Linked DNA regions of Callithrix jacchus. The main gene of each other region encodes a partner of the protein of the gene in region 2 in a complex. Links are inferred from orthologs where the notes say so. Each region holds a gene or a part of one and is shown on either strand. Other genes may lie near its edges. The genes, in order: GAR1 and WRAP53.

Region 1 (15,439 bases), on a different chromosome or scaffold from region 2:
TCTTAGATACCACTATAGCGCATTTCTAAAATGCAAATCAGATCATGTCACTCTGGTTTCAAATCCTTTAGTGACTCCCTGTCACCTTTAAAACTTACATGGCTCATCACTGTCTGATACTCAGCTATCATTTCCAACATATCTCTCACCCTTCATCTTACGATTCATCCATAATGATTTATCTCAGATTCTCGAATTCACCATGTCCTCTTACCTCCCGGCCTCAATTGGGGAAAGGGAGAGTGCTCAAGGACACTAAATTAACAAAATGTCTGTCGCACTGGAAGTTGGTAACAGTTTATAGGAGCCAAAATCTAAATAAAAGATTAAATAAAAAATCTAAACAGCCTCTTGGTGAAAGTAACAAATGAAATAAATGCTTTCACTACACCCTTTCCTCATACTTTTGGTTTTGATTTGCAAGTTTACGTGGATTTTGTTAAAGGAGGAAAGTTAGGGGATCTAAAGAAAAATAGGTGCTTGATACAGGGTCAGAACAAAAGCATAAAGAGGTCAGATCTGCTTCCTTCAGTTGCTCCACAAGAAACACAAGTGAACAACACATACACATTGTATACCTTGATAAAGCTGACTCATGGAGTTATATGTGAGGGCTCTAGAAACAAAATGCCTGGGTTCAAATCCTGGTGTAGCTACTCAGATGTGTGTGTTAGACAAGATTCTTAAGTTCTTCATCAGTATAAACTAGAGAAATAAAACTGAAAAGTAACTTACTGAATTAGTGTAAGGATGAATTATCCTGTATGTGCAAGGTTTTAGAACAGTGCTTGGTATATAGCAAGTATTCAAATGATAACATTGGTAGCAGTAGTAACATTACTATTACTACTACTGTTACAGGGATAATAACTAAATAGAATATTTTCTGCATGCTAATTTTGTTACCAGGTCAAAAAAGGATAGGTCTGGTTGTTTGTTTTTGCTTTTTGGTTTTTTTTTTTTGGTCATCTACAAAAAACTAAACCAAACACTTGTATACAAAGTATTTCCATGTAATTGTTACGAGATTTTTCTCTCTTTTTTGCAATAACAAAGAAACTAGTACTTGTTTAGTACTTATCATACAGAGGTATTCAAATGAACGAGATAACATGTCACTAAAATCACAAAACTTAACTGAGGAACTCACAATTTCTAGCACTGGAAGTAATATGCTGAATTATAAGAAAGAAACGAAACAATTATAAACTGGGTATAGGATGATATGTTACACTTTTCATTCTACTTTTAAGTATGTTTGAAATTTTCATAAAAGTCCACCCAAAAAATAATGAACCCAGTATAATACAGTGACTCCTAAAACTTGTTACGGAGTATAAAGTTGAAAATTAAGTGATTGCTCAATATAAAAGTTACACAATTCAATGATACAATCAAAAGACAGAGTTTCTACTGTCATTTCCCCCATCCGTTTTTTTCTGCAAACAATCCTTTACATCAGTGAGTGTGTACAGAGGAAAGGGAAAAAGAAACAAATATTTGCCCAACACCTACTATTGGCATTTATGTATCATTTAATTTTACGCCTTATGACAATCATGACAGGTAACTTACTCTTATCCTTGTTTTACAGGTGAGAAAATGGAAGAACAAAAAGGAGAAGGAACTTGCTCACAGTTGCAAATATACTAAAACATGAAATCCAAAATTCAAGAGTTTTCCAATAAGTATTCTAGAGCAAGCTGAATTTTCAAACTCTGTCCTTAAATGACAATATACTCTGATCTGTCTTCTTAGGACTTTTTCTTTCCAGAACCTTTAAGTCCTTAGCTAAATTCTACCACAAAGAACAAAAATATGAGGATTATGTATAAGAATAGTAAATGATATAAAAATATATTTTTGCCATGGTGCATGCTCTTCTCCAATAAAAACTTTGACAATGCAATAACCAAATATATAGATTTTTATAAAAGAACTACTTATTACATAGAAAACTTTTCTCAGCCCCACTTCACTGTTCTTACATTATCAAACATCAAAATAACCCGCGACAATGGCTATCACTAATGCTTTCACCCACATTCTCTTATTTGATCTTTACAGCCCAGAAATAGAATATCATCATCCTCATTTACCACACGAGCAAGCCAAGTCGGATAAATGACTTCTTAAGGTTGGCCAATAATATGGAACTTGAAACAATGCATTCCTTATGCTGAAAACTTCTGCCTTTCTTCCCCCTAAAGAAAGATAACTGTTAAACATCCATACCTGCCATAATCAAGTAACTTGCAACAATATTGTGTTCAGTCTGTGAAAAGACCGAGCCATCTTCATTTTTAGAGTCTGAACTGTTGCCTAAATTATTTCTTAGCATTTTGGAGGGAAGATACTGAGACAGCCTTCATAATAAGCCTTTGATAATTATGAACTGTTTTATGAGCTACTGAGGAAAGATCTTTCAGGACCAATCATTTCCACTTAGAGACCTCAAAGAAGGGCCTTTTCATAGAGGCCCTCCCTTAACAAATTTAATTGGGCTAAAGAGGAAGGGATTTTAATTCCCAGAATAAGGGAAAAGCTTATTAGCAAAACAAAAAGAAATACCAAGCACTACACATTTTAACCTATTTGGGTATCAGTCTTCAGTCTAAGGAGATTATCAAGCACACACATCACAATTAAACAATAAACAAACTCAGGAAATCAGTGCAGGAGCAGACTTAAATGATTTCTGCTGGAAATCAGTTCTGATATTAAAAGCCAGTCTTAGTCCTCTGAAACTATTCAGGTTAAGGTCCCTGTTTTCTGTTGACCCTTCAAGTTTTTCCATTGTGGCTCCTTTTATTTTTTCTCCTTAATTAAAATATTAGTGATAAAGAAGTAATCTCCTTCCTACTTTCGAATCTCCCTCTCCTAAACGTACCAGTATTCTTTGGTGCATATTCTTTCTTATGCTTTTCTCTGCTTATACAAATATATATTCATACAAGTATTTAAGGTTTCTTCCACTTTTTTCTTATAAACAAAAATGAGGAAAAGAAGTAAGTATATATGTATATATATAACGCATATATAATGCAACTTGTTTTTCCCTAAGGCTGTATTATAAATTTCAGGTCAATAATCTCAGAATCTAATAAAGTCTAATTTATTAGTAGCTATATATTTCATAGCATGGATATAACATGATCAACTCCACCATCCATCTCAGTTTATTTTTCCCATAGTTGGCTGGGCACGGTGGCTCAAGCCTATAATCCCAGCACTTTGGGAGGCAGAGGAAGGTGGATCATGAGGTTAGGAGTTCAAGACCAGCCTGGCCAACATAGTGAAACCCCATCTCTACTAAAAATACAAAAATTAGCCGGGCATGGTGGCACGCACCTGTAATCTAAGCTCCTCAGGAGGCTGAGGCAGGAGAATCGCTTGAACCTGGAAGGCAGAGGTTGGAGTGAGCTGAGATTGTGCCGCTGCACTCCAGCCTGGGCAACAGAGTGAGAGGCCATCTCAAAAAAAAAATTATCCTATAGTTTGATATGCACATAATTAAAATTATCTGATGATAGTAATCATTTTATACATTGCCAAAGTATCTGAATTCAATCACTGATATGGTAAAGCAGAGTAAAAATATTCTGGGTTATCACATTATAACATGAAAACTAACCCAAACATGTTTTGTTAGAATAATAAGGTATCCCTATTACCTTTTCCCCCATATTCTTTATTCCATTCACATTATTAAAATCTGATTCTTCTCAGTTTCTTAAAATCAGTAAACATTAGAGAAATGCTTAGATGCACCAAGGTTAACAGTGTAAGCATAAAACAGAACCACTAGAGGGCTATATTTACCCACTTAATCTTTTGTAAATCCTAGAATGGCACAGAAGAAACCTAAGATAATCCTTTTGCCTCAGTTCTCTTGCCTGTGTTTAAACTCAAGGTAAACAGGTTGACTTATCTGTCCCAAATCTTATAGCCACCCATACTCACGTTGTATAAATGTAATGTTCAAGAGATCGAGACCATCCTGGTCAACATGGTGAAACCCCATCTCTACTAAAAATACAAAAAAATTAGCTGGGCATGGTGGCACGTGCCTGTAATCCCAGCTACTCAGGAGGCTGACGCAGGAGAACTGCCTGAACCCAGGAGGCGGAGGTTGCAGTGAGCCGAGATCACGCCATTGCACTCCAGCATGGGTAACAAGAGCGGAACTCCATCTCAAAAAAAAAAAAAAAAGTGAATTTGATTCAAAATAAAATGCCTCAAAAAAAAAAAACCCAGAAGCTAGGCCAGGCACGGTGGCTCATGCCTGTAATCCCAGCACTATGAGTGGCCGAGGCTGGCGATCACCTGAGGTCAGGAGTTTGAAACCAGCCTGACCAATATGGAGAAACCCCATCTCTACCAAAAATATAAAAATTAGCTGGGCATGTTGGCAGATGCCTGTAATCCCAGCTACTCAGGAGGCTGAGGCAGAAGAATCACTTGAACCCAGGAGGCAGAGGTTGCAGTGAGCCAAGATCATGCCATTGCACTCTAGCCTGGGCAAAAAGAGCAAAACTCTGTCTCCAAAAAAAAAAAAAAAAAACCAGAAACTATAAGGAAAAAAAGGGAAACGATGTCGAAATAATAGCTTAAAGATGGCCAATGACCAATGACCAAAAGATATATATATATAAGCTAAAAGATGAAATCTGCAAGTGGTTTGTCTACTGATCACATTTTATCCAACATTGCCATTATAGATTTATTTTTAATGTTTAAAAAAAAAACTGTAGAAATGTTGCACTATTACTATTTGCCCTTGGGACAATGCCATCACCCTCTAATGCTCACTAACTTCTTTTCCAAACCAAGAGCAAAAACTCTGGCCCTACACTCCATGAAAATTTCATCACCACAATTCTAAATCAAATGATCTCCTAAGCTGTAAAAGCATAACTGCCTATTCCTGTAAAAACTGTAATTTTCAACACATTCACTCATCATATATATTAATGGCCTATGTATTTATTAATCCTGCTACAATTCTATCAATTAAAAAAAGAGATAAAATCCCAAATACTGACATAGACAACACTGTATGCTCCTCAAATGAGCATTCAAGGGTTAAGCATGTTAGAAAATTTAACAAATGATGTAGAAACATCACTCCTTCTGAGAAGTGCAAAATGAATAGCAGGGTAAATAGCTCCGTATCATGGCATTGTAACTTGCTACCATGGTCATTTCTTTACACGCTACTAGCAACAGTGACCAAAACCAATTTCATTTTTAACATCATTACCCAGCAATTTGAACATGTGGTATGCAATCGATATTCACGTATAGTAAATAACACCTTAAACTTTTAGAGTCCCTTTAAAAAAGTAAAAGTGAAATAACATTCAATAAAACCTTTAATATTCCATTTATGTTGGCTGAGAAAAATTGACCGTTTCTTTAGAAATTTCTTGAACTACAGTTTTCACTTAAACAGAGCTACTCCACCTTCAATACATTGCTAATATGGAAAATTTTTAAATCAATAATTAAATGCAATTAGAGAAACAGCTTAACGGATTTATGTATTAAAACACAAAAGGGAAACACAGAGCTATGTTCTCATATGTAAAAGGCCAGGGTTTTGAAAGGGGGTATTAATTTGTAAATAAAGTACTGCTCTAGTAGCCTATTTTTTCAAAGATCAAATAGAATCAAAAAGGATTGAAAAGAAACCTTTTTTTAATCTGCAATTCACTGGGTTTAAGCTTTAGTTGTTCCTTTCTACTTCAAAAAATGGGTTTCTTTAATAAACACACTCTAAATAAGGGAATAAACACTTTATTTTAAAAATTCAAATATGCTTCAAATGAAAACTCCTGTCCATTTATTAAGCACCCACAGAGTGCCAGGCACTATACAAAACATTAAAAAGATTTGTTCATGCTCTTTTAGAGCAAAATTCACTATTCCGTTGTACTTGGCATAATGCTGACATTTTAGATCCATTGTCATAAAACGACCAAGATCTTCAAGACTTGCTCAAGAAACAAGTTTCCAATCCACAGTAGAAACAGATGACACAGGTTTATGCAGAAGTCAACTGGTGATGTCTGTCAACCATTTCACTTAATGTCCTCTCCCTAATTAAGAGAAAATTGAAGTATTAAGGGCACAGAAAATGGATTTCTTAATAGTATTATAACCTAAAACTCAAGTTTAAAATCAGCATTAGTTTCTATAATGTTTAGCAAACATATTTTACCCAATTTAACTGTCATTCATATTACACTTTCATTTTTTAAATTAATAATTAAGCAAAACCAAATTAGAATTAGGTGAAAAAAATTGAAAGGAAAAGGCAAAACAAAAAGTGATATAAAATAAAGCCACAAATTAGGCTAAGCAAAGAACATCACGGTGTGCTACATACTTGCTAGCAGAGAAAAATAAACTGAAACAAAAACAGAAAATGCCTGTTTAGTATCAATTCTAAAAATCAAGCAATTTAAAGACTTTTTAAGATACTCACCTCTGAAACCACCTCCCCCTCTTCCTCCTCGGAAGCCCCCACCTCCACCTCCTCTTCCACCTCTAAAACCACCTAAAAAACATGTATTAAATAATAATGCAAAATATTTAAATAATATAAATAATAAACATGAACAGTTATTAACTATATAACCTCTTATGCTGATAAGCCTACAAACATCAATACAATAACTATAATTACAATGAATATTCACATATTTTATCATGGAAAAAATTTTAGAAGATAAAAATGGAGGGACTGTAGTTTACCAACTTGGCAACAGGCTAAAACCCTAGATTCCTTTTAAACAAGTATTCCATTTCAATAAATTAGAAAACCTGCTACTTTAAAGTATAATTCAGTCTTGTTAAATGTACAATTATCACCTTAGTTCTTGCTTATGATAAAGACTTTTTGATTCAACGAAGGATAGTTTGATGGAATGAAGGCTTTTTATCCTAAGAACAAAGGGTGGCACCTATGGGTGCTTTTGCTCTGGGGGCATGATAATAAATATGATAGTTAAGGCTAATTGAGCTACATAGGTAAGATTTTTTAAAAATAAGATAGTTGTGAATTTTTTGAAATGTTAAATGATACTCAAATGAGAATAGGGGAATCTCTATTCATCAAATTCTCAAGAAGGTACCCCTGAAAATATTGGAGAAATATGTTGATATTTTTTAAAGATATTCCTTGCTACCTATATGGACCCAAACAAGTACATTTATGGAGTGAAATGATGATTAAATTGAGAGACGCAAAAGCGAATCGTTCCTTCTCTTTTTCTGATCCAATAACAAAAGCCCAACTTTCAGCTCCTCCCCCTTTCCACTTTGGCCCTCCCCCTACTCACAGGACATGGCAGCCCCACTCCCCAGAGCCCTGCTCATCACCTAGCTGCCAATTAATGATGAATGTGCCAAAACCTTGGGGAAACAGTGAGATCACAGCAATGAACTTATTAGTAATAGTTCTTGACATGACATCAGAAGATATGCATTTTAATTCTGGGTCTGCCAATTGTTTGATGGGGGCAAATTAATTTCTGTAAGTCTCCGTTTTCCTCATTCATAAAACAAAAATATCATCTATCTCAAAAGGTTTCACTGAGATTAGAAGAATATACAAAGAAATTAAAAGAAGGTATGACCAGCTTTCAGCATGCAGTCTATACTCAATGATAATAAAATTAAGATGATTTTATGGTTTATTAAAATGCCCAAGAAAACATGAATAACCCAAAGAAATAAAGTCCCTCAAAAGTATACTACAGTAGATTTTTTTTTTTCTGTTTAAGTTGTTGAAATGAAGCATTATTATTATGGACAATCTGTCAATATTTGAAAGCAGCTTTACCATAAGGGAGGTTTGCTATGTTCAAAACTAAATTGTACTATATGAATTTAGCTGTGACTCTAAAATCTCAACAGAAATTTTCCCCAAGTAACTTACCACCTCTGCCACCACCTCTGCCACCTCCTCCTCGTCCTCCTCCTCGGCCTCCCCTGCCACCACCTCTTGGAGGTCCTTTCTCACCTGGAGGTCGAGGTAAAAACCTCTGCAGTGGCAGCAGCTTATATGGGTCTATATAAAACTGGAAACATAATAGAAGCAATTAGTGTGATGACTTGGGGGACAGTATAATAATTCAGAAGCTACATGATAGAGTCAAAACTGACTGGGTTCCGTTTTGCAATTTAATTCTTTCCACAATGTATCTCTGGGTAAGCACTTAATTTCTTACTACCTTAGTTTTCTTTTATCTTTTTTTTTAAATTTTAAGTTCTGGGATATACGTGCAGAATGTGCAGGTTTGTTACATAGGTATACATGTGCCATGGTGGTTTGCTCCACCTATCACTTGTCATCGAGGTTTTAAGCCCGCATGCATTGGGTATTTGTCCCAGTGCTCTCCCTCTCCTTGCCCCCCACCCCCCAACATGCCCGGGTGTGTGATGTTCCCCACCATGTGTCCATGTGTTCTCATCGTTCAACTCCCACTTATGAATGAGAACATGCAGTGTTTGGTTTTCTGTTTCTGTGTCAGTTTGCCTTAGTTTTTTTATCTGTAAAATGTAGAGAATACATAACTAGCTCACATGTTTGTGTGATGATCAAAAGTGACCTATATAAGGCACTTGCAATTTGGCACACAATAAGCATTGTATGCATATAAAAAAATCAAGACCAATTCAATCTCATTTCTCTTTAGAAATAGGTTTAACATTTCCACTCAAAAGAACTGCCTTAAGAAAAATAAAACATAGCATTATCTTGAATAAAATAAAAAACATAGCATTAAAATTCAAAATAAAGCATTCACAAACTAGCTGTTTCAAGCCTTTAATAAAGATCAAAAGGGTAACTATTTTCTGAACACACAAAGTAATGAAGGATATAGAGAAACTATACCCATCCCATAATTGGGGCTAAAGAGGACATTTCTCAGATAATGAAATGTAAAGGGCATATTGTATCATAGTTCTTCTACACAAAACACATGAGGATTTCAAAACTGTGATACATTACTTAGAATAAGATACCTGAATCCCTCTCTAGCTATCACCTTATTATTCATCTTCCCTTCATAGCCCATCATCTCAAAATATTATCTAGATCTACACTGTTCCATGTGGTAGCCATGAGCCACAGGTGGCTACTTATATTTAATTATTAAAAATTCAGTTCCTGAGTTACATGAGCCACACTTCAGGTGCTCAAAAGCTACATGTCACTAAGAGCTACCTTACTGGGCAGGGATTTCCATCACTGCAGAAAGTTCAAGTAGAGGGCACTGGTCTACAGACTTCGTAATAACGCAGGCTGGGTAAGGAGGGCTGAATCTCAACATAGCAGGGGGTATGGAAACTGGGAGAGGTAGAATGTACTCAAGTTAATACCTGTAGTTAAAAAACAAAAACCGAAAAAACTAAATAATAAGCCCTCAAATAAATAATTCTGAGAAAAGGGAGAGGGATTCCAATCAATTTAAGTGGCTATTACCAGCAGTTTTTTTTCAGGTCACAAAATGGAAATCCTTTCTCAGCATTGTTTCTTTCTGGGCTCAACAGCTCCAGGCACACCTGAAGCAATTTCCTGTGAGTACTTGCCAAGGTTTCCACAACTAGCAGGCATAAGCTAACAACAAGCTATTGTCTCCTTCTCATTTCCCATTTCATTCTGGCTCCTGGGCCCACTACTGCACTGGCTCCATGATTCCCTGACGTCTACGTGGCTGTCTTCCAATGAACACTTTGCAGCATTTTGCCACAGCTGAGCAGTCTCTCCTGGAAACACTCTCAATTTTTGTGACACCATTTTTATGGCAGGCTCGTGGTTTGCCTTTTTTTTTTAAACTGGCAATTTCCACTAACTGAGTTTCCAGTAACAGACATTTAGCTTTAGGAGGTGTCCCAAAACTTCATAGGTGCTCTTTTCCTCTCATTCTTTCTTCCTACACTGTTTCATGTACTGTCTGTATACTTAACAAATTCCCAATTCTATCTCCAGTCTAGACTCTTCCTTTAAACTCCTGACGATTTGACCATCTCACAAGTACCTTCACCTCACTATGTCCAAAACCGAACTCATTATCTTTCCCCAACCCTCCTCTTCTGCATTGTTGCCCATTTCATTAAACGATACCATCACCCACAAAGATGTTGACATCAGACATCTGAAAGATGGTGATATTTTTCCCTTCTTCAATATCCATCCTGTTGATTCTACTTCCTGTACCTTTCATAAATCCACCCACTTTTTATAGTTAGAACAACTATTATAACCTCCTACCTGTCCCCTCACACAATATTGCCCTCTTCCCAAGGTGCTTTTTTATCTTCCCAGTGTTCTTCTGAAGCATACAACTAACTGTATTATCCCATTATTCAAAAATAAAACATGGCCGGGAGTGGTGGCTAACACCTGTAATCCCAGCACTTTGGGAGGCCGAGGCAGGCGGATCACCTGAGGTGGGGAGTTCGAGACTAGCCTGACCAACATGGAGAAACCCCATCTCTACTTAAAATACAAAATTAGCCGGGCATGGTGGCATATGCCTGTAGTCCCAGCTACTCAGGAGGCTGAGACAGGAGAATCACTTGAACCTGCGAGGCAGAAGTTACAGTGAGCCGTGATCATGCTGTCGCACTCCAGCCTTGGCAACGAGAGTGAAACGCTGCCTCAAGAAAAAAAGCAAAACACAATTGAAACTAAAGTCTAAACTCTTTCCTATGACCTGAAGGCTTAAGTGAATCAAGCCCCCTCCTACCTCTCTGGTCTTAATTCACAACTTTCCCAACCTCTCCTAAATGCTTCCTTCCCAACCTATACATTTGCCTTTTTATTTCCTTTCAGTTGCTTGCTGTCTCGGAGACTGCATATACTCTTTTCTCTACTTGGAATGTACTTTCCTCTTTCTCTTTGACTAGCTCAGCGCCTCTCAAGTATTTGCCTAACTACATCAAAACTATCCAAGTGCTTTTCCTTTTTACAACTGAATCCTGAACCCTACTTAAGAGCTCCTAGGTCAAATTTCCTCAAGTGGAAACTTGAAGTACATCTTCTTAAAAGCTCCCCAAGATAACTCTGACATGCAACCAGGTGTGGAAATCACTTCTAGTCAACAATCAGGCCTAAGCTTCAAGCTCACTTTTTCAGGAAACATTACTAAAGTTGGTGGCACTACAGTTTCTCATGGCAACCTGTAGTTTTCTTTCACAGCATATGCTGTTGATGTCTTGGGAAATCATTCAGTACCTACGTTCTCTCAAATAACGTAAGATTTTACCTAGAGTGTTTGGTCATTAAAGTTTTTCAATATGAGTTTTACATAAACGAAATCTCTTACTCTAGCGGTTACAGATCTTGTTAATATGAGCAAAATCTGTAATTTTTACTTTCTAAAAGGTTGTATCAAATAAATTACTTTTAAAGATTAGTATGTTCAATATTTATAGCACAGAACATTTCAGTTTAAGAGCTTTACTAGTGATATACTGGGGAAGTCTCAAGTGCCCTAAGTAGTACTTTCCTAAGATAGGTCATTCCCTTATAAAACCAAGGATCCCAAGTAACGTAAGTATGACTCACCTTCTGCAGTTTTTTAAAGGATGAAGCCTTCATATTTTCTGACAATTTAACTGAAAAATACTATTACTTTCATTAAGGAACAAATTAGCAATTAAGATGAAAGGTAATATCGAACCTTATGAATTTATGTATAATTTCAAAAACAAGATTAGAATACATGGACATATATATATGAAAAATAAAAAATGAGTTTCCAGGGGGCTGGGCGTGGTGGCTCATGCCTGCAAACCCAATACTTTAGGAGGCCAAGGCAGGTCGATCACTTGAGGCCAGGAGTTTGAGACCAGCCTGGCCAACATGGTAAAACCCCATCTCTACTAAAAACACCAAAATTAGCTGGGCAAGGTGGTACTCACCTGTAATCCCAGCTACTTGAAAAACTGAGGTATGAGAATTGCTCAAACCCAGGAGACAGAGGTTGCAGTGAGCTGAGATCGTGCCACTGCACTTCAGCCTGGGCAACAGAGTATCTATCTCAAAAAAAGAGAAAGAGGAAGAGGAAGAGGAGAGAAGAGTTTCCACAGTAGTGGGGGCACCAAACAACTTCTAATTCTACATTTCCAGAGGCACCACTATATCCAAATCAACCAACTTAATCCTGTAGGACTTATCCAAATGGCCATCATTTCTAGAACTTTCCCAAAAAAAACCTCACCTTTCTAGGGTCTGTCATTTTAATACCTATGGATGAATACATCCTCCCCTTGATTCTCCTTCATGGTCCAGTATGTAGCAATCCTGTCTAATTAAATAAAACAAGTTTAATTTATACTTAACTGCCTCAGAAAAATACAAATAGCAACCTTTGAATATTATTCAGTCTTCCAATTAAAAAGGATACAAAATCTCTAAGTTGTCCAAATATTTCATCCACTTTTCCAATTTGTTCTTTGTTTTCTAAGTAAACAGGAGCATTGAAATAAGGCACTTTATTTTCATCTGTGGTACATTTACAAACTATGTCATCTTCACAGGGATGGAGGAACTCTCCTAACACTGAAATAGAACAAGAAAATGTTAAAACATAGAACTATTTCAAATGATACTGACGAACTTCTCCTGGAAGCTTTCTTTTTGGCTACCAGCACTTCACCATATCTGCTCTCCTGTGAGGCAGAAGACCACAGTCATTAAGAGTGTGGACTTCCTGGGCTGGTTTACAGACTCCACAACACACTAGCTCTGTGACCTAAGAGAAGTCACCCACCCTCTCTCTAATTCAGTGTCTCATCTTTAGTATGCACTAATACCATATCATGTATATCTACACCTAAAAGAGTATTGTAAGGACTAAATGGAATAACAAATGTCAAGTGCTTAGAATAGTGCCTGGCACACTGAGACCATTCAACCTAAACAGTTATCTTATTATAACGTATTATCTGATTCAAAACTCTGCTTCTTTCTTCTGATTCTTCCTTGTCTTCAACCCCCACTGAATCAGACTTTGTTCTTTTTTTTTTTCTCTTGCCTTTCAACTTTCACATTCCCACTACCAACTCTTTAACAATGATTCATTTTTTTAAAGGACATCTGGAGTCTCAAAATAACTACCTTTATTTCTAACTAACTAGAGTATCACCCAAACTTAAATACTTACCACATTCCTGCAAAACCAACTCTCCATTCCCATCGCCCAAGCTCAAAACCTGAAACTTTTTATTGCCAGTATTAGCTAAGTTCTACTGATTTTGTTTCCTTTGAAATCTTTCCTATCTAACCCTTCCTCTTTTTCCTCACTGTGACCATCCTGAATCAGGCTCTCAATGCCTCACGTATGGACTGGTGCAACAGCTTCTGGGCTGGGACCTTTTATTCTAGACACTGCTCCTTTCAAATCCTCCTTAACTAGACACTGTTCATCCTCTCTCATCTTTAATGTAGTAGGCTTTACTTTCTGTGACTTCCATTCCAATCTCATTGTTAATTACTCGAAAACTGCCCTAAATGGGTCTTTTTCTCGACTTCCTCACTGGCAGTTTCCCTCTCAAGCAAATTTTTTTCTCACTTACCAACTTTTGAGTAGTAACGAAAGCATGGGCTGTGGACTCAGAATACTTGGCTTTGTATTTCTTTCTTTTCTGTACAGACAGGGTCTCTTGCTTATTGTCCAGGCTGGTCTCTAACTCCTGGCTTCAGGTGTGAGACACCGCACCCAGCCTGTATTTCAGCTGTATCACTAACTGATAACTTATCACTAACCTTAAGACCCTAGCAAAAAAAATTAACTCTGAATCACGGTTTTCTCATCTGTAAAATCAGGGAATTAAGGATAAGTATTCACTTGCTATCTTTAATATCTTCTTGTGAACCCTCAAGTTCCACCTCCATGATGCATTTTAAGTATCCCACAGCTTTCTTCATCTCCCCATCCCACCTTTACATGTACTGTACGATTATAAGTCAGTTTACATCATTTTCCACACAGGCTTGTGTATCCCAAACTTGCTGACTAATAACACAAACCCACAACCCACCTCTACTCCTTCAAATAGGCTAAATGTTGAAGACTACATACAGACTACACGTTCTGGAGGTCCTTGATCTTGGCCTTTGTTAAAGCCTCCGCGGCCACCCCCTCGGCCAAATCCTCCCCTGCCGCCGCCTCTGAAATTGCCGCCGCCTCCGCCACCGCCTCCGCCTCCACCTCGGAAGTGGTTGCTGCTGCTGCCACGGTTGAAGCCGCCACTTCCACCACCTCGATTAAAGCCTCCACGACCTCCGCCTCGAAAAGACATTCTCTCTCCTCCCTGGTGAAAAAAAATGAGCAGTTATCTTCTGATCACTGTAGCCTCTGAGTACACTCCAACCCCTTGGAGCCGCAGTCAGAAAGGGACAATAGCAGCCCTGTCACGTCACCCACGGTCAGACCGCCAGTGACCAACCTCTAGGGTGAAGAGTTTACTTCCCCATGAGTCTCCGGAACGCCGACCGACCACAGACCAGCCTGGCCGCCCCAGGATTAGTAACTCCTCCTCACACAGACAGCAAGGTCTTCACACCGTATCCCCTTCCTTCCTCCCTCCCTCTGGCAGCTGGGTTCCGCGTCCAGCATTTTCAGATCCTCCGGCTTCTACGGCAACTCACCGGCGCCACGTGCACCTCTGGCCCTGGCCTTGCGCGCGCACACACCCACCCGCTGGGTACTTCCGCAGCACTGGAACCTCCTCGGCTACCGTACCGCCAGAGTTTTTTTTTTTAAACCCACTTTTTTTTGGCAAGCCAAAAAAAAAAAAAAGCCAGTCACCGGCGGAACCAGCAACACTTGGTTCCAAAACAGTCTTCAGTGCTGGAAGAGTGGAATAATATCGAACCTTAACGACTAATTTACAACCATGAGGTCAAAGTGCCTAGAGTGGAGCAGCGGAAGTGACGTACAATAGCGGCGTCCTTCGCAGCACGACATCCCGGAAGTGCTGCGGCAATGTTGCTCTTGGAGATAGTTGGCGTTAGAGATCCGCCCTCTCTACCGGGGGCGGGGCGGGTGCCAGTTTGGTTCCAGCGCTGACTGCCGGAACGAAAGCACCTTGCAGGAACAAGGTTGGTTCTTAAGGTTCGTGCCGATTAACGGGGCGCACTTGCTTCTCACGAAATTGTCCCCAACCGCGCTCACCAGTTTGTTGCTAACTTCAGCAACTGTGCAGACGGGTCTCTAAGGTTTCTGAGCCGCACTCTTTTCAGTGGATCTGGCTGTGTCAGAACCTGTCACAGCCGGCGGAAGCGTTTATCTGAGTTTCTTGTTTTTTCTCGACCTATTGATTTTCGCACAATTGTGGGTTGAACTGTGCCTGTTATTCTGTTCTGTGGTCTCACTGATTAGAGGAAGAAAAGCAATGTGTGTGTTTATTTAATTTT
Region 2 (14,907 bases):
AGGTGGCCAACTTGGTGCCCAAAAGCAGCTTTGATCTAATAAAGCTGAGCTGGGAGGAAACTGAGGCAACACCCAATTGCACACTAGAGGGCAGGAAGAGGTATCAGCTGGTCGCCATGGAAACAGCGGCCTTTGCTAAGTACCACTGTCAGCTAGACCAGCCAGTAGGCCACCATTTTGGTTACTAAGAAGGGAACTGTGTTGAGTCTGAAAGGAGTCAGAAATGGAGGATGAAATGAGCAAGACACCCATCTGGGTTACTCGGGGAGAACACATGGGTTCTTGGGGTAGTCCTGTTGATTAACAGAGATTATACTGGGATAATGGAAAGGAAAGAACAAGACAAACTGGGCCTGCCATGGCACATGGCAGTCATCTTAGCTGTCCTAAAATCAGCACAGAGCACAAGGAAAGGGAGATCTTGGGAAGTGCCACTGAATACTGGGAAAGTCCTTCTCGGTCCACCTCTGTCCTCTTACAGTCAGTAAGTTCCAGCTTCCTCCTCAAACAGGAAGTTCTTCCCGCCCTTCTTCTCCACAGAGCAAGAACCATCCACCTCCCACCCCCCGCATCCCCCAGACTAAGCCACTTGGTGTTCCAGCCAGACCACTTCCTATTTCAGAAGTGCTACTTCCTGTCCTGGATGAAGGCACTTCCAGTTCCTGCTGCACTGCTTCTGCTACTTCCCAGGCCATTTCTGTCCAGGCCTGGACACCTCTTGTCTGGAGCAAGTCATTTCCTGTCCCAAGTGGCCCATTCAGCATCAGACCAAGTTCGTACATGTCCCGACCGGTTCATATCTTGCTATTGGCCACTGGACAAAACAGGACACTTCTTCTCATGGTAGCTGTCATGACCCAACCACCCCAAATGGCTGGAGTAAGTATGTAAAGGCCTGGGCCAAGGCAGAGAAGGGAGCCCTGCTGCCATGCCCTGAGCTGGGGTGGAGTGCCAGAGCCTTCCCCATAAGGCCCCCATTTTTGACAGACTGAGGGGAGTGGTTGGTATGAGAGGTCGGAAGGGGGCTGAAAGCTAAGGGGAGAAGTGCTTTGATGCCCCTGCCCGGGAGATGGGAGAGGCACAGGATAAGAAGCCAAGAGGGTGAAAGGAGATGTGGGGAGGAGGATGCTAGGGAAGAACAGACCTAGAGACAGAAGAGAGGGAAAGAATAAGAGATAGAGAAAGGAGAAAACCAGTGAGAAGCAGGAAGAAGCGGTGCCAACCACATGGTGGACTGTTCCCGCCCCTAGCTCTGGGTGGGTTGGGGGACAAGGATGCCTGGGTCACAGTCAGAGAGGAGGCTGAGCCTGGGCCCCTCCCCAAGGGAATAGGACCGAGGGACACTGAGACAGAGGGGAGCACCCATGGCCAAACGGGAGGGCAGGAGGTGGTACAGTGAGAATCCTAAGGAATCCTGAAAGTGGACACGAGGACAGCAGTGGGGAGGAGCGAAGGGGCTGGTAGGGCACAGGGGGCCGAGGAGATGTTAGGGGTGTCCCTCAAACCAGGAATTAAACTGGAGGAGCACCCTAAGAAGGGCTGGATCCAGGAGAGCCACATGGGGGGAGCCCTCATACCTTGTAGTAGATATTTGGAGGGCTCTGGGGGGGCCCATCCTGCACTATATACACAGGATGCCCATAATCACCGCTCACCTTCTCATAGTGGGGACAGAACGGGGGATCGGCAGCCCCGCCACCCCGCAGAGCTATCCCTAGCTCCCCAGGCTCAGCCTCCCGAGGTCCCAGCCCACCTCCACCTCCCAGGCCCAGAGACCCTCCCCTCCCGAAGGAGCCAGGACCAGGGTGGCGACTCTCCGAAGGCTTGGCCCGCCGTCTCCGCCAACACATGGCACCCCCAGCCCCTGCCACGCCCAGCAAGAGCAGCGCCAGCCCCCCTGCTGCCCCAGCCACTGCGGGCATGCTGGGAGGGGGCAGGGGGCCTTCAGCACCCCGAGAGGTTGCATTGCTGGTGGGGTCACCTGGCAGGGAAGGGGTGAAGGAGGAAAGAGGGGGAGGGACTGAAGGAGCCACCTGGGCATCTGGACACCCTACCCTGGGGGCCCCCATGGGCTTCCCTTGTAGGGCCCAGGCCCCTTGGGGACCCCACCTCCTCTCCCCCGCCAAACCCCACTCAGAATCCAGGTGTCCAGCCCTTCAGCTTCCTGCCACGGAGTCCTCCCCACTTCTCTGACAGCACTGATTGAAGCACTGACTTGGCTAATTAGTTCTAATTGAGTCTTTTCCTCATTTGGCTTCCATTCCCCTCCCACCCTCCTGTCCTCTCTTCTCCTCTTTCCTGTATCACCGCCCCCAAAACTGAAGAGGGAGGGTGATGGCAGGGCAGCTGGGGTCTGAGAGCAGAGGAAGCTGGGGAAGGCGGGGGGCTGGACCCTGGTTCCTACCTGGCACATTCTCCTTCCCAGGCTCCAGGCTGTGGGCTGCCCCTCGGTCTCTTTCCATGGGTATTTCAGACACAGGTTTTCGGGGAGCAGCCCCTCCTTGGGGACCTGAGATGAGGAAGAGCAGAGAGAGGCACTGAAACAACCGCCCTTGACCATGATCGTCCTGCCCCAATGTCCCTCCCATCCCGGGAGGTGTCCTCCAGCCCTACTCACTTTGTCCCACTCGGAGAAGCACCTTCATGCCTCTGGTTAGGCATACGCCTCCCTGCAGGCTCTCCAGGCCCTCCCGGGTCCCATCGGATGTGGCTGGGAGGGAAAAGCCAGAGGGAGAGGTTGGCACTCCAGAGTCTAGCCGGGTTCTGGCCCCACACCCTGGTGTGAACACTGCCTGAGGGCACTGGGGTCTTCCTCTTGGCTCCAGTGGTCCCCCTCCCTCTCTGCTCAGTGTCAGGAGCAGCCCCCAACTCAGTTGTGCTCTCTGCCCAGCAGTACCAATGATGTAGTAATCGTGGTGTGAGCGGAACTCGTGGCCCCAAAGGTTAGGGCTGTACTCCTGGAACTTGATGGTGAAGCGGAGATCCAGGTCTGGCCGATCACAAGTGAGAAGGAGGTTTGGAGCAGGGGGTGCCTCACAGCGCCGGCCCTGGGCACCCCCTACCAGGTACAGCTTGTAGAACTCATAATTAGGAGAGGAGTGGGGGCCAGGAGGCCGGGCCCGGGGGCAGAGCAGGTCTAGCCGGTCCCCGATCTGAGGGTAGAGTACATAACCACCCTCTGCCTGGAACCTATGGGGAGAAGGGTGAGGTGGACAAGGAAGAGATGTCAGAGGCCTGGCCCCCAGAGCTTTCCCTCCCTCACCCCGAAACCCTCCAGGACAACAATCCTCAGCTTACGCCTGCCCGCCTTTGTCTGAGTGGAAAGTCTGTTCTTACAAGCAGGCACCAAGGACTCTTCCAGTGCGTTCACACTGGAAGCAGCAGGAAGCCAGGCTCAGAGGTCTCCTGCCCCTTGGTGTGCCCAAATGCACTCTTCAGCCTGCCCTCACCACATGCACACTGCCATCTCCCGCTCCATCACCAGCCCTGTTGCCATGGCAACAGGATGCCAGTTACCAAGGAGCTGGCCTCTCTGGAACCACACAGCCCACCCCTCCCAGGTGATTTCACTATTCCATGGCAGCCAACCATGGGGGCAAAGCCTCCCCTCCTCCAGGCCACCACTGAATTTCAGGGATTTCAGGGCATAGGAAATGGGTCAGGGAGGGGCTGTGTGGAGGGTGATCCAGACCAGTGTCTTAAATTAGCCAGGTAATAGGACGGAGGGCAAATGCCCGGTTTGGCCATGACCATCAATGGGGCTGATGGGAACCAGGGTCTAGAGACCTGCTGCCTGAGTCATTCTCCTGCTCAGAATCCCACCCTGGGTCTTAGACTTCCTGGGGCAAATGCCCTATTGCTTTGGAAAGGAAAGGAATTGACTTTTCTAACCACGACCAACACAGTTCACCATCTCCTTGGCCAGAGCACCCAGGCATCCACTGTCCCAGCACAGCCGCAACTTGCCAACCCTGCAACCCCTTCCTGGGCATTAATAGCTGAGACAGGGTCTCAGGACTGGATCCCATGGGACTGCTACTTGACATCTTCTCAGACTCCCAAGTGTCCCACTCCCATCCCACATCCAAAAGAGCCCCCAGGACACCCCAACTCCCTTTTCTCTACCCTGTGAAAATAAGCTTATGTTCTCAAGCTACACACCTAATACTCAAACTGCAGCTGGGAGTTGGCAAGTGGGTGACTGAGTACAGAAAAGACATTGAGATTATACCCAAAGAGATCCGGGAGACAGAGAGGGAGGGATGGCAGGGCAGGGAAATGTGAGGGAGTCTGGGAACTAAAGAGTGGAACAATAATCCAAACTCTCCATTAATGAGCACATAATAAATTTCAACATCTTACCGCTAATCCCGGTAATAGCTGTAAGGATTAAGGATACAAACTCAGAAAGGTTAAGTGACATGCCCAAGGCCACACAGCTTAAAGCAGCAGAGCTATGATTAAGACCAAGGATTTGATGAGCTCCAAAGCCCACCCGCTTCCCATGGCCTCACACAGTCTCCCCAGGGAAGTAGGAATTCTTCAAAACACAGAACTCTTTTCTGAGTGGCAAGTGGGATCTGCATGTAGGCAAGGGACCCAGATGACCTCCCAAAGGTTCTGTCCTACCCAGTGTGACTTGAAGTTTCATCTGACCCCTGGCCTCTTTTCAGAGCAAAGCAGGCATGCCACGGAACAGAGGGTCTGATGGAAGAGTTTGGATCAAAGATTGGGGGAGGGGGCAATGGAGTCCTCAGGACTCCAGATGCAAAAGGGAAGGAAGGAGGGTTCAGTGGGCTGGAGGCTTCTTCCAGAAAGATGCCTGCAAGCCAGGAAGGCAGGAATATGTTCTGGCTGGGAAATCGTTCAGCCAACAGTTCACCAACCCTCTGGCTGTGCAGAAGAGTTGGGAGACAGACTGTCAAAGATTGTCAAAGAGCCTTGGGGAAGTTGTCCCCAGAGTCCCCAAACGAAACCCCCTTGCCTCCCATCTTAGACGCTGAGTTCCTCCAGCGGGGAGGGAGGCACCCTGCCCTGCCTTCCCCTCAGCGACTCGCAGCACCTTATCTGCAGCTCTCTCCTGAGAGCTGACAGTAACCAGGCTCCCTCCAAGCCCAGCCCCCCAACGCAGGCCTCCCATAGATCCAAATACCCACCTCACTGCCCTCCTGGCTACCCATGAACTTTCTTCTCCTTGCCCCTTCGGGGTCTCCAAACTCCTGACACATCCATAGCACCACCTGCATCCAGCTCTGCATGGGACCCGGAGTCTGGCTCCCAAGATCACCTGTCTAGTAACCCATCACACATCACAGCACCAGCGCCTTCCCTCCCGCCTCCTCCCTGCCCACAGAAGCCAGCCCCCAAAGTCCCCAAAGCTTCCCTACCCACTGCCCTAGGGTCTGGGGTCTCCCCGGCCCCAGGCCGCTCACCTCTTATTCGCCGAGTTCCAGTAGACAGGTTCCAGACTGAGCCCAGACACCAGCCCCAAAACGCCCAGCAGCAGCAGGGCCCCGATTCGCACGCCCCCCGGCCCAGAATGGGGGGGCCCCATGACCCCGCCAAGGCCTGGGGGGCGGGGCACCAACTCCCCCAAAGTCGCTCACCCCTTGGGGTGGCTGCCTTGGCTGCCTGACTCTTCAGCCCGGACCACCCCGGTGGCTGATGCCCCCAGCGCCCACGCGGACCTGCCTCTTGCTGTGCCCGCGCCCCCGCAGCAGAGCGCTCAGTCCCACCAGAGCCCTTCCAGGGGCCGTCTGCAGGCGCCCTACGCGCCCCCGGCCCACGCGCCAGCACCCCGGGATCTGTGAGCCCGCCTAAGTGGGGGACTGGGGGAGCCGGGGTCTGGGCGGGGGCGGCATGGGGCGTCGGACCACGGAGCGAGGAAGGGGGCGCTGAGCCGGAGCCCCAGCCTCGCCGGGATTGAGGGCAGCGGGCTAAGGGAGGAAACCAGTCCCGAGCCCAGGAGGGGGGAGTTAAAGGAGAGGCGGGGAGGGGGAGAGGATGGTGGAGGGAAAAACCGGAGCTGGAGCTCGAGGCGGAGCGGGCGGCAGCATCCCGCGGCCCACGCCCCCCACACCTCCCTCACCTCGCGCACCTCCCGCCCGCCGCCCCGCCTCAGCCCCCGGCGCGGGCTCTCACGCCCCCTTTGTCTCTCCGAGCCTCTGGCTCCGGCTGAGTTCTGCCCGTCTCCCCTCCTGCCCTCCAATTGCCCAAGCTGCTGGAATCTTCCTCTCTCGAATCCAGAAAGGCTCTCGCCCTCTCCACCCAGAGGAACCCACCCCTTGTGCTCCTGCATCCTCCTCCGTCCCAAAACAACACCGCTGCTCCCGGCAGGTCTGGAGAGAATAATAATAACCTTGACGGCTTGGCAATTTACAAAGTGCGGCGGAGCTGATCGTCACGACTACCTGTGTGAAGTGGCAGGGGCAGAGCTAACGATCCCATTGCAGTGATGAGGAAACTGAGGCTCAGGGAGACCCCCATGACTTGCCCAAGGTCACACAGGAAGTCTAGGATAAAGCTAGAGACCAAACCCAGGCTGTTCAACTCCCACTACTGGGGTCTCTTTTGTCACCACTCCATGGACCTACCGTGTGCTGTTAACCTGGGGGTTAGTGGGACAGGAGTTTAGGGGATACACTTGGGCCTTTCCTAGATGGCTGGGGGGAGAAGCCGGGCTTGGAGAGGCAGGGGCATACCTACAACCCCAAATCGGCACTGCCGCAGGAAGGGCTGTTTCCAATTATCCTGGGGGAAGGGAGGAGTTGCCTTTTCGGGGGTAAGAGCCCTGGCTTTCAGCACCTCTGGGCAGGGGTGACATTCCTCTCCTCTCTCAAGCCTCCACAGGCCTTTCCTCCCTTCCCTTTGTGAGGTCCAAAATCACATCCCCTGCTGGCGGTATCTCTTCAAAGGCCCCCCATTCTCAGTGTTTGGGAAGGTGTTGGGGGGAGGAGGGAGGAGTCACTGCTTCAAATGACACACTCGTCCCCCACCCCCAAAGACAGAACAGACAAATGGGGAAACAAGCCCAGCGACAGCTGCTGAATAAGACCCTTGCCATGCCCTGCATCTAACGGCAATACCAAAGGTGACGACTGTATATTTTTTGACACGTTTACTCTTTCGTGTGTCCTTGACTCTGGCAACTGGGTTGTCTGCCTCCTGGAGAGCCCTGGGGAGGGGAGGGACAGGTTCCTGCTCCCCTCAGAGCTGAGTAATGGTCCCTGTGCTGCTGGAACATGGCAAACAGTGTGGAATTTAGGTGACGGTCACCCTGTCACTGTCTGCACAGTCTCACACGGTCACACCCAACAGTCTGACCCAGCTTCTGCTCAGCCTGGCTCACCCTGACCCCTGCTGCCCCCACCTTGGGAGTGAGATTTCAAACAGGTTTCCCCCTTCAGTTTACCAAGTTGCCTAGCAACCAACCAGTCAATGGCATGAAGCCCCACCCCCACCCACTTGACTTCACACCAAGCTCAGCCACCCCATTGGCTCCTGCCTAGTCCCACCTCTCGATCCCTGGTTTCAGGAACAATATGCCATACCCACTGCTGCTGGACAAGGGAGCCCGCCAGTTCCCCTGCCCGCTCCCACCTCACTCATGTGCCTCCCCAAACAGACACAAAGACTCTAGTATCATAAAAACCTTTTTACATAAGCTCACTGTCACCTCCCTCCATCCCTCCCTGCCCTTTCTCGCCATGGTGGTCATCAGGGATGCTGGGGTCTGGGCCCCCCCCACACCACCAGAGCTGAAGCCGACATTCAAGGTGGACATGGCGCGTAGAGAGCAGGGGAAGGCCCAGCTCTGGCTCCCCTTCGTCCCCACTCTCTGTGGGCTCTGGAAACACACGCTGACCGGAGGCGGTAGCCAGGAGAGGCAGGCTAGGGTGCAGGCTGAGGGAGAGATGAGAGGGTCTGTCAGCACCTTCAGTAAGAACACTTGCTCCCTCTGGGATTCACCTCCTTCCCCAACCCAATCCCCAACATCTCTGGAATTGAAGTGAGGACCTCACGCCATTGGTGCAGTCCTTTTGGGGCAGAAAACTCAATACAGGCTCCGGCTTCCCATCATTGCCAGGCCCGCCCGTGTCCCACACTTGGACGGCCCCGCTCGTGCTGCCACTCACTAGGAACTGCCCAGTCCTGGAAGAGAGAGGAGAGATTTGCTGGCAGAGGCATCATCCCCGGGGCAGGAACTCCCCACACCCAGGGGCTGGGACCCCACAGCTGAGCCCTGACATTCCTAGGCTTATCAGGGCCCTGTGTGGGAAGGAGCCACGGCCACTCACGGATCCACATGGAAATAGATGCGCTGATTGGTGGTCACCTCTCGACTCAGGGACCACAGTGGGTAACCAGGCTGCCGGAGATCCCAGCACAGGAGCTCAGCATCCTAGAGACACAGAACAGGACCTGGAGTGGCCCCCCAAGCCCTAGATGTCCCTGCCTCCCTCAGGGTCTCCAGGCACTCCGTCAGCTTGGGATTTCTCCCCATCCCCATCACCATCCCCCTGCACTGCAGACTACATCCCCACTCCTGCCCAGCTGCTTTGAGCTCTCAGAGTATGACCCCTACCTTGCGGGCTCCTGAGAAGAAGCGGTTGCCATCGGGGTGAAAGCAGAGGTGAGTGATGCCCCCTTGGTGCCCTCCCAGCAAGGCAAGAGGGGAGCCATCATCCCAGGCATACAGACCCAGGGAGCGGCCGTAGGAGCCACAGGCATAGAGGGGCTGAGCTGGGCTGAAGGCTATGCAGGAGATGATGCCACTCTGGCCCTGCCTTTTTGCTAGAGAGGGAAGGAACAAAGTGGGGAAGGGGCTGTAGCTCCTGGCCCCACCAAGCAGAGCTCTGTCTCCCATCCCAGCACCAGCATGCTTGCACTCAACACATCTCCCCCACGCTGTTTGTCAGGAGCAGGATAAAGACCTCTGATGCTTCCCACATCTATCCTCCCAAATGACCTAAACACCAAGCCCCACGCCCACTTCATCCCTCTCAAATTCCAGTTTTTCCTTGGAGAGATGCAAGTTGAAGGCCTACAGGAAAACAGAATCAGCTTCATGAAAAATTTTCTAGAAAGATTTCAGAGACCAAAAGCTCCACAGCTGACAGGGCATGGGTTCAGGAATTAAGCCGTCCTCTGACCGGCTGGTTGACCTTGGGGAGGTTTCCTACATGCTCTGAGTCTGCTTTCTCCTCTGTCAACTGGGCTGCAGCTGCCTCCCAGGGTTGTACACATGACGGCATGAAACTCCACAGGTGGCCCCTGGCTCACACAAGGACCTATGCAGGAGGCAGCACGCTTCTCTCTCCACCCCCCATGGAGGCACAGATGCTTACCAAATGTGGCTCGGACCTCGCAGTCTCGGCCGGGTCGGGCCGTGGAAAAAACACGCACAGTCCGGTTGAACCCACAGAAGAGTTGGGAGCCATCCGGGGAGAAGCAGAGTGAATGGGCTGCTGTCAGCTCATCCTGGGAAAAGAAAAGGGCTGAAAACATGTCTTGCAAAGCCTCAGCTTCCCTAAAGGAAGGAGAGCCAGGCCAGCAGAAATACTAGGGCTGAGTGTGAAGGTCCCTACCAGGTGGTTGTAGGCACGAAAGGAAGCCCGGAGCTCTCCAGTGAATGCGTCCCAGATATGAATAGGGTTCTCCCGGCTGCTGCTGGCTACACTGAGAGAGACATGGACACTGAAACCCTTGTGCTGTCAAAGGAAGGGGAGGAATGGCCGGGCGCGGTGGCTGACGCCTGTAATCCTAGCACTTTGGGAGGCCGAGGCAGGTGGATCACCTGAGGTCAGTTCGAGACCAGCCTGGCCAACATGGTGAAACCCTGTCTCTACTAAAAACACAAAATTAGCTGGGTATGGTAGTGCATACCTGTAATCCCAGCTACTTGGGAGGCTGAGGCAGGAGAATTGCTTGAACCTGGGAGGTTGAGGTTGCAGTGAGCCGAGGTTGCACCAGTGCACTCCAGCCTGGATGACAGAGCAAGACTCTGTCTCAAAAAAACAAAAATACAGGGCAGGTGCGGTAGCTCATGCCTGTAATCCCAGCACGTTTGGAGGCTGAGGAGGGTGGATCACGAGGTCACGAGTTCGAGACCAGCCTGGCCAACATGGTGAAACCCTGTCTCTACTAAAAATACAAAAATTAGCCAGGCAAAGTGGGTACTCAGGAGGCTGAGGCAGAAGAATTGCTTGAACTCAGGAGGTAGAAGTTGCAGTAAGTAGAGATCACACCACTGCACTCTAGCCTGGATGACAGAGCAAGACTCCATTTCAAAAAAAAAAAACAAACAAACTTAGCTGGGCATGGATTGTGCCACTGCACTCCAGCCTAGGTGACAGAGTGAGACTCAATCTCAAAAAAGAAAAAAGAAGGGGAGGAAGCCAACTGACCAGCCCCTCTGATGAGCATGACAAGCTTTCCTCTTCTGAAGGACCCTGGCAGCCCTTGACTCTCCCAAGAGGACCCGCTTGAAACTGGGAGGTGGGGTGGCGAACAGAGAGGCAAAGGACATTACTTACTAGGAGGTGTCTGGCTGGGCTGAGGACATCAGAGAATACCAGCAGTAATCATAGATGGTATCACCTTCCACCATTCGAAGGACAGGGACCTAGACAGAGATGTACAAATGCCTGAGTCACTCGGAGGGAAACGGTGTCTGAGGCATGTGCCTCTAGCAGTGTTGTGGCAGATGGGGTGTATATACGGAGCAGAGACTCTGTCTCAATGTTCAAGGGCGAGCTCAGACTTTAATGTCAGATTTAGCCACCAAAAGCCATATAGATTCATACTTTTTCTTTTCTTTTAAAAAGGTTTTGAGATGGAGTTTCATTCCTGTTGCCCAGGCTGGAGTGCAATGGTGTGATCTCGGCTCACAGCAACCTCTGCCTCCCGGTTCCAATAGATTCTCCTGCCTCAGCCTCCCAAGTAGCTGGGATTATAGGTATGCTCAACCACGCCAGGCTAATTTTGTATTTTTAGTAGAGACAGGGTTTCTCCATGTTGGTCAGACTGGTCTTGAACTTCTGACCTCAGGTGATCTACCCACCTCAGCCTCCAAAAGTGCTGGGATTACAGGTGTGAGCCACCATGCCCAGCCTCTTACTTTTTCTTTTTAAACACTTAGAGAGGAAGAAACAAATAATAATACCCCAACCCAGACACAAAGAACTAACCAGTAATTCAAATATTTACTGAGTACATGTTAGGTGCCATTTGACCCTTTAAAAAAATATTAGCACAAAAATTAGCCAGGCATGATGGCAGGCCCCTGTAATCCCAAATACTCGGGAGGCTGAGGCAGGAAAATCCCTTGAACCCAGGAGGTGGAGGTTGCAGTGAGCTGAGATTGCACCACTGCACTCCAGCCGGGGCAACAGAGAGAGACACTGTCTAAAAAAAAAAAAAAATCCATCAGCAGGGCACAGTGGCTCACACCTGTAATACCAGTACTTTGGGAGGCTGAGGCAGGCAGATCACTGGAGCCCAGGAGTTCAAGACCAGCCTGGGTAATATAGTAAAACCCTGTCTCCTCGAGGAAAAAAAAATTATCTAGGCATGGTGGCACATGCCTGTAGTCCCAGCTGCTAGGGAGGTTGAGGCATGAGAATCACTTGAGCCCAGGAGGCAGAGACTGCAGTGAGCCCAGATGGTGCCACTGCACTCCAGCCTGGGAGACAGAGTGAAAAGCTGTCTCAAAAATACAAAAATGAAAACAAAAAAAGTAACTTCCCTATAAAAATGAAGGAAAAAAAGTAAGCAGTTCAAACATCCAGCTGAAGAAAAAACTATGTTTAAACCCCTTTCCTAACAGAAACTCTCCCTCAGAGGTAAACAATATACTGAATTTATCATTGTCATACATTTATTTAGGACTATATTATACTTTATTTATTTTTAAGGCAGAGTCTCACTGTGTCACCCAGGCTGGAGTGCAGTGGCACGACCTTTGCCTCCAGGGTTTAAGTGATTCTTGAGCGTCAGTAGCTGGAATTACCGGAGTTCACCACCACACCTGACTAATATTTTTTTTCTTTTTTTAATTTTACTTTAGGTTCTGGGGTACATGTGCAGATTATGCAGCATTGTTGCATAGGTACACACATGGCAAGGTGGTTTGCTACCTCCATCCCCCCATCACCGACTAGTTTTTGTATTTTTAGTAGAGACATGGTTTTGCCATCTTGGCCAGGCTGGTCTCAAACTCCTGGCCTCAAGTGATCCACCTGTCCCAGCCTCTCGAAGTGCTGGGATTACAGGTGTGAGCCACTGCGCCCGACCTAGGAATATATTCATATGGGAAATTTGTGAAAAAAAACAGTATCTAACGTTCTCTGGCAGGTCATTATACTTAGTTTTTTCTTTTGTTAGAGACAGGGTCTTGCTCTCTTGCCCAAGCTAGAGTGCAATGGTGCAATCATCTCACTGTGACCTCAAACTCCTGGGCTCTAGCAGTCCCCCAGCCTCAGCCTCCCTAGTAACTAGGAAGACAGACACATGCCACCATGTCTGGCTAATTTTTTAAATTATTTTTTTGTAGATCAGGGGTCTATGTTGCTCAGGCTGGTCTAAAACTCCTGGCCTCAGGCAATCCACCCACCTCAGCCTTTCAAAGCACTGGGATTACAAGCATGAGCTACCATGCCCAGCCTACACCTAACAGTAATGATATCATATCATATGTATCCTTCTGTGATAGTGAGCTTTAACCATGGTAACACATTTTGCTGTAATTCATACCTTTTCACTGCTGTACAGTACTCCACTCATGAATACATTCAAACTGATTTACCCTGCTTCTGTTGAGTCACTGACGTCGTTCTATTTTTTGGCTAGTGTGCTTTAACATTCTGTACATATGTAGAAGTGTTTCTCTACAGTTTCTGCTGATGAGTGAAATTACTGGTCTCTATGCTATGCACTTTGCCAACTTTGTAAGATACTATAATGTCCATTTCTTTCCCAAAGCACTCATCCCAATGTCCTCTCCCACCAGCAGCATGTAGGAATCTCTATTCTAGCCTGGGCAATATAACAAGACCTCAATTTTACAAAAAATTAAAAAATTAGGCATGGTGGCATGCTTGTAGTCCCAGCTGTTCGGGACGCTGAGGCAGCAGGATTGCTTGACCCCAGGAAGTTGAGGCTGCAGTGCACCATGTTTGCACCACTGCATCCCAGTCTGGGCAACAGAGCAAGATCCTGTCTCCAAAAAAAAAAGGATCGTTCTTTATCCTCTTAGTATTGCCAGACTTTTACATATTTCTTAATATGAAGGCAGTGAAATGGGCTTTCATTACAGCATAAATTTCTATTTCCATCATTACTGTAAGAGAGTTTAGATATTTCCTCTATGCTTACTAGCCATTAGGTGTATCTTTTCATAAATTTTGCTCATTTTCTTTCTTTCTTCTTTTCCTTCCTTCCTTCCTTCCTTCCTTCCTTCCTTCCTTCCTTCCTTCCTTCCTTCTTTCCCTCCCTCCCTCCCTCTCTTCTTTCTCTTTCTTTCTTTTCTTTCTTCTTTCTTCTCTCTCTCTCTCTCTCTCTCTCTCTCTCTCTCTCTCTCTTTCTTTCTTTCCCCCCAGGCTTTTGAGTCTTGCTCTATCCGCTGGAGTGTGCAATGGTGCAATTTCAGCACACACTGCAACCTCCGCCTCCAAGGCTCAAGCAATTCTTGTGCCTCAGCCTCCCAAGTAGCTGGGATTACAGGCACCCACCACCACGCCTGGCTAATTTTTGTATTTTTAGTAGAGATGGGGTTTCGCCATGTTGGCCAAGCTGGTCTCAAACTCCTGGCCTCAAGTGATCTGCCTGCCTCGGCTTCCCAAAGTGCTGAGATTACAGGAATGAACCACCGCACCAGGCCAAATTTTGCCCATTGTTCTACTAGGTTGTTTTGTTTTTTGTTTTGGGGGGGTTTTGTTGTTTGTTTGAGACAGTGTTTTTCTCTGTTCCCCAAGCTGTAATATAGTGGCACAATCTCTGCTCACTACAACCTCTGCCTCCTGGGTTCAAGCAATTCTCATGCCTCAGCCTCCCAAGTAGCTGGGACTACAGGCAGTTGTCACCAAACCCGACTAATTTTTATATTTTTTAGTAGAGACAGGGTTTTACCATGTTAGCCAGGCTGGTCTTGAACTCCCGGCCTCAAGTGATTGCCCACCTCCACCTCCCAAAGTGGGGATTACAGGCATAAGCCACTGCACCTGGCCAATTGTTGCCTTTTTCTTACTGATTTGTAAGAAATATTTAAATAGTCTGGACATCCGTCCTTCATCAGTTATCTGCTGGCCCTCAGGCTGATGTCAACCCACCATGACTTCAGTGTCCCCCCTCTACCCTGAACCCATATATCCAACTGCCTGGTGGACAGTGCCACTTGACCATCCCACAGGATCCTCAAACTCAATTTGTCCATAATGGGCCCAGCATCTGCTACCGTCAAACCTGCTGTTCCTCCTGGACTCCACAACCAGTGCTCAATCCTGAAATCTGAGTACCAGCCTTTACTGCTACCATCTTCACTTTCTTTCCACTCCTGGTCCAACCCAATACCAAATCTTGCCAGTTCCTCCTCCTAGCCTTCCATTACCATGCTGCTACCCCGACCCACCTCTCAAAGCTCATCTCTATCTGCTCATTCTCTTAAAATCTCTGAGTCCTGCCATTTTGACTCTCAGGTCCCATAAGGTGCCAACTCGCTACACTTTCAATCTACTAGCTTTCACATGTCCTAGGCTCCAAGTCTGGAATATTCTTCCTTCATCTCCCTTAACGACTCCTCCTGGGTGACTCCTAATCATCCTTCAGGTCTCTTTGATGCTTCTTCCTCTGGGAATGCTTCCCTAACCCCTCCAGCTGAACAAGGCACCCCTGCTCCACTTTCCTATAGTC

What was found.
Region 1: WRAP53 (region 2) and GAR1 share a complex: the UniProt entries of both Homo sapiens proteins name them as parts of the telomerase holoenzyme complex. The link is inferred for Callithrix jacchus from reciprocal best matches to the Homo sapiens genes WRAP53 and GAR1.

Annotation. Positions count from the first base shown.
Region 1 is NC_133504.1:87,419,059-87,434,497, forward strand, and holds GAR1 (H/ACA ribonucleoprotein complex subunit 1), read right to left. Parts: upstream 14,713-15,439; 5' UTR 14,640-14,712; coding exon 14,565-14,639; exon of another isoform or gene 14,470-14,564; intron 14,335-14,469; coding exon 14,103-14,334; intron 12,581-14,102; coding exon 12,426-12,580; intron 11,645-12,425; coding exon 11,585-11,644; intron 9,362-11,584; exon of another isoform or gene 9,239-9,361; intron 8,088-9,238; coding exon 7,946-8,087; intron 6,563-7,945; coding exon 6,491-6,562; intron 6,102-6,490; coding exon 6,088-6,101; 3' UTR 5,784-6,087; downstream 1-5,783. Other genes in the region: RRH (visual pigment-like receptor peropsin), read right to left, coding at 2,236-2,341. UniProt on the Homo sapiens protein: Required for ribosome biogenesis and telomere maintenance. Part of the H/ACA small nucleolar ribonucleoprotein (H/ACA snoRNP) complex, which catalyzes pseudouridylation of rRNA.
Region 2 is NC_133506.1:74,184,408-74,199,314, reverse strand, and holds the end of WRAP53 (telomerase Cajal body protein 1), read right to left. Parts: intron 10,625-14,907; coding exon 10,536-10,624; intron 9,697-10,535; coding exon 9,588-9,696; intron 9,481-9,587; coding exon 9,348-9,480; intron 8,794-9,347; coding exon 8,585-8,793; intron 8,402-8,584; coding exon 8,298-8,401; intron 8,152-8,297; coding exon 8,017-8,151; intron 7,903-8,016; coding exon 7,656-7,902; 3' UTR 7,640-7,655; downstream 1-7,639. Other genes in the region: EFNB3 (ephrin-B3), read right to left, coding at 1,572-1,981, 2,405-2,509, 2,618-2,710, 2,897-3,189, 5,157-5,291, 5,433-5,554. UniProt on the Homo sapiens protein: RNA chaperone that plays a key role in telomere maintenance and RNA localization to Cajal bodies. Specifically recognizes and binds the Cajal body box (CAB box) present in both small Cajal body RNAs (scaRNAs) and telomerase RNA template component (TERC).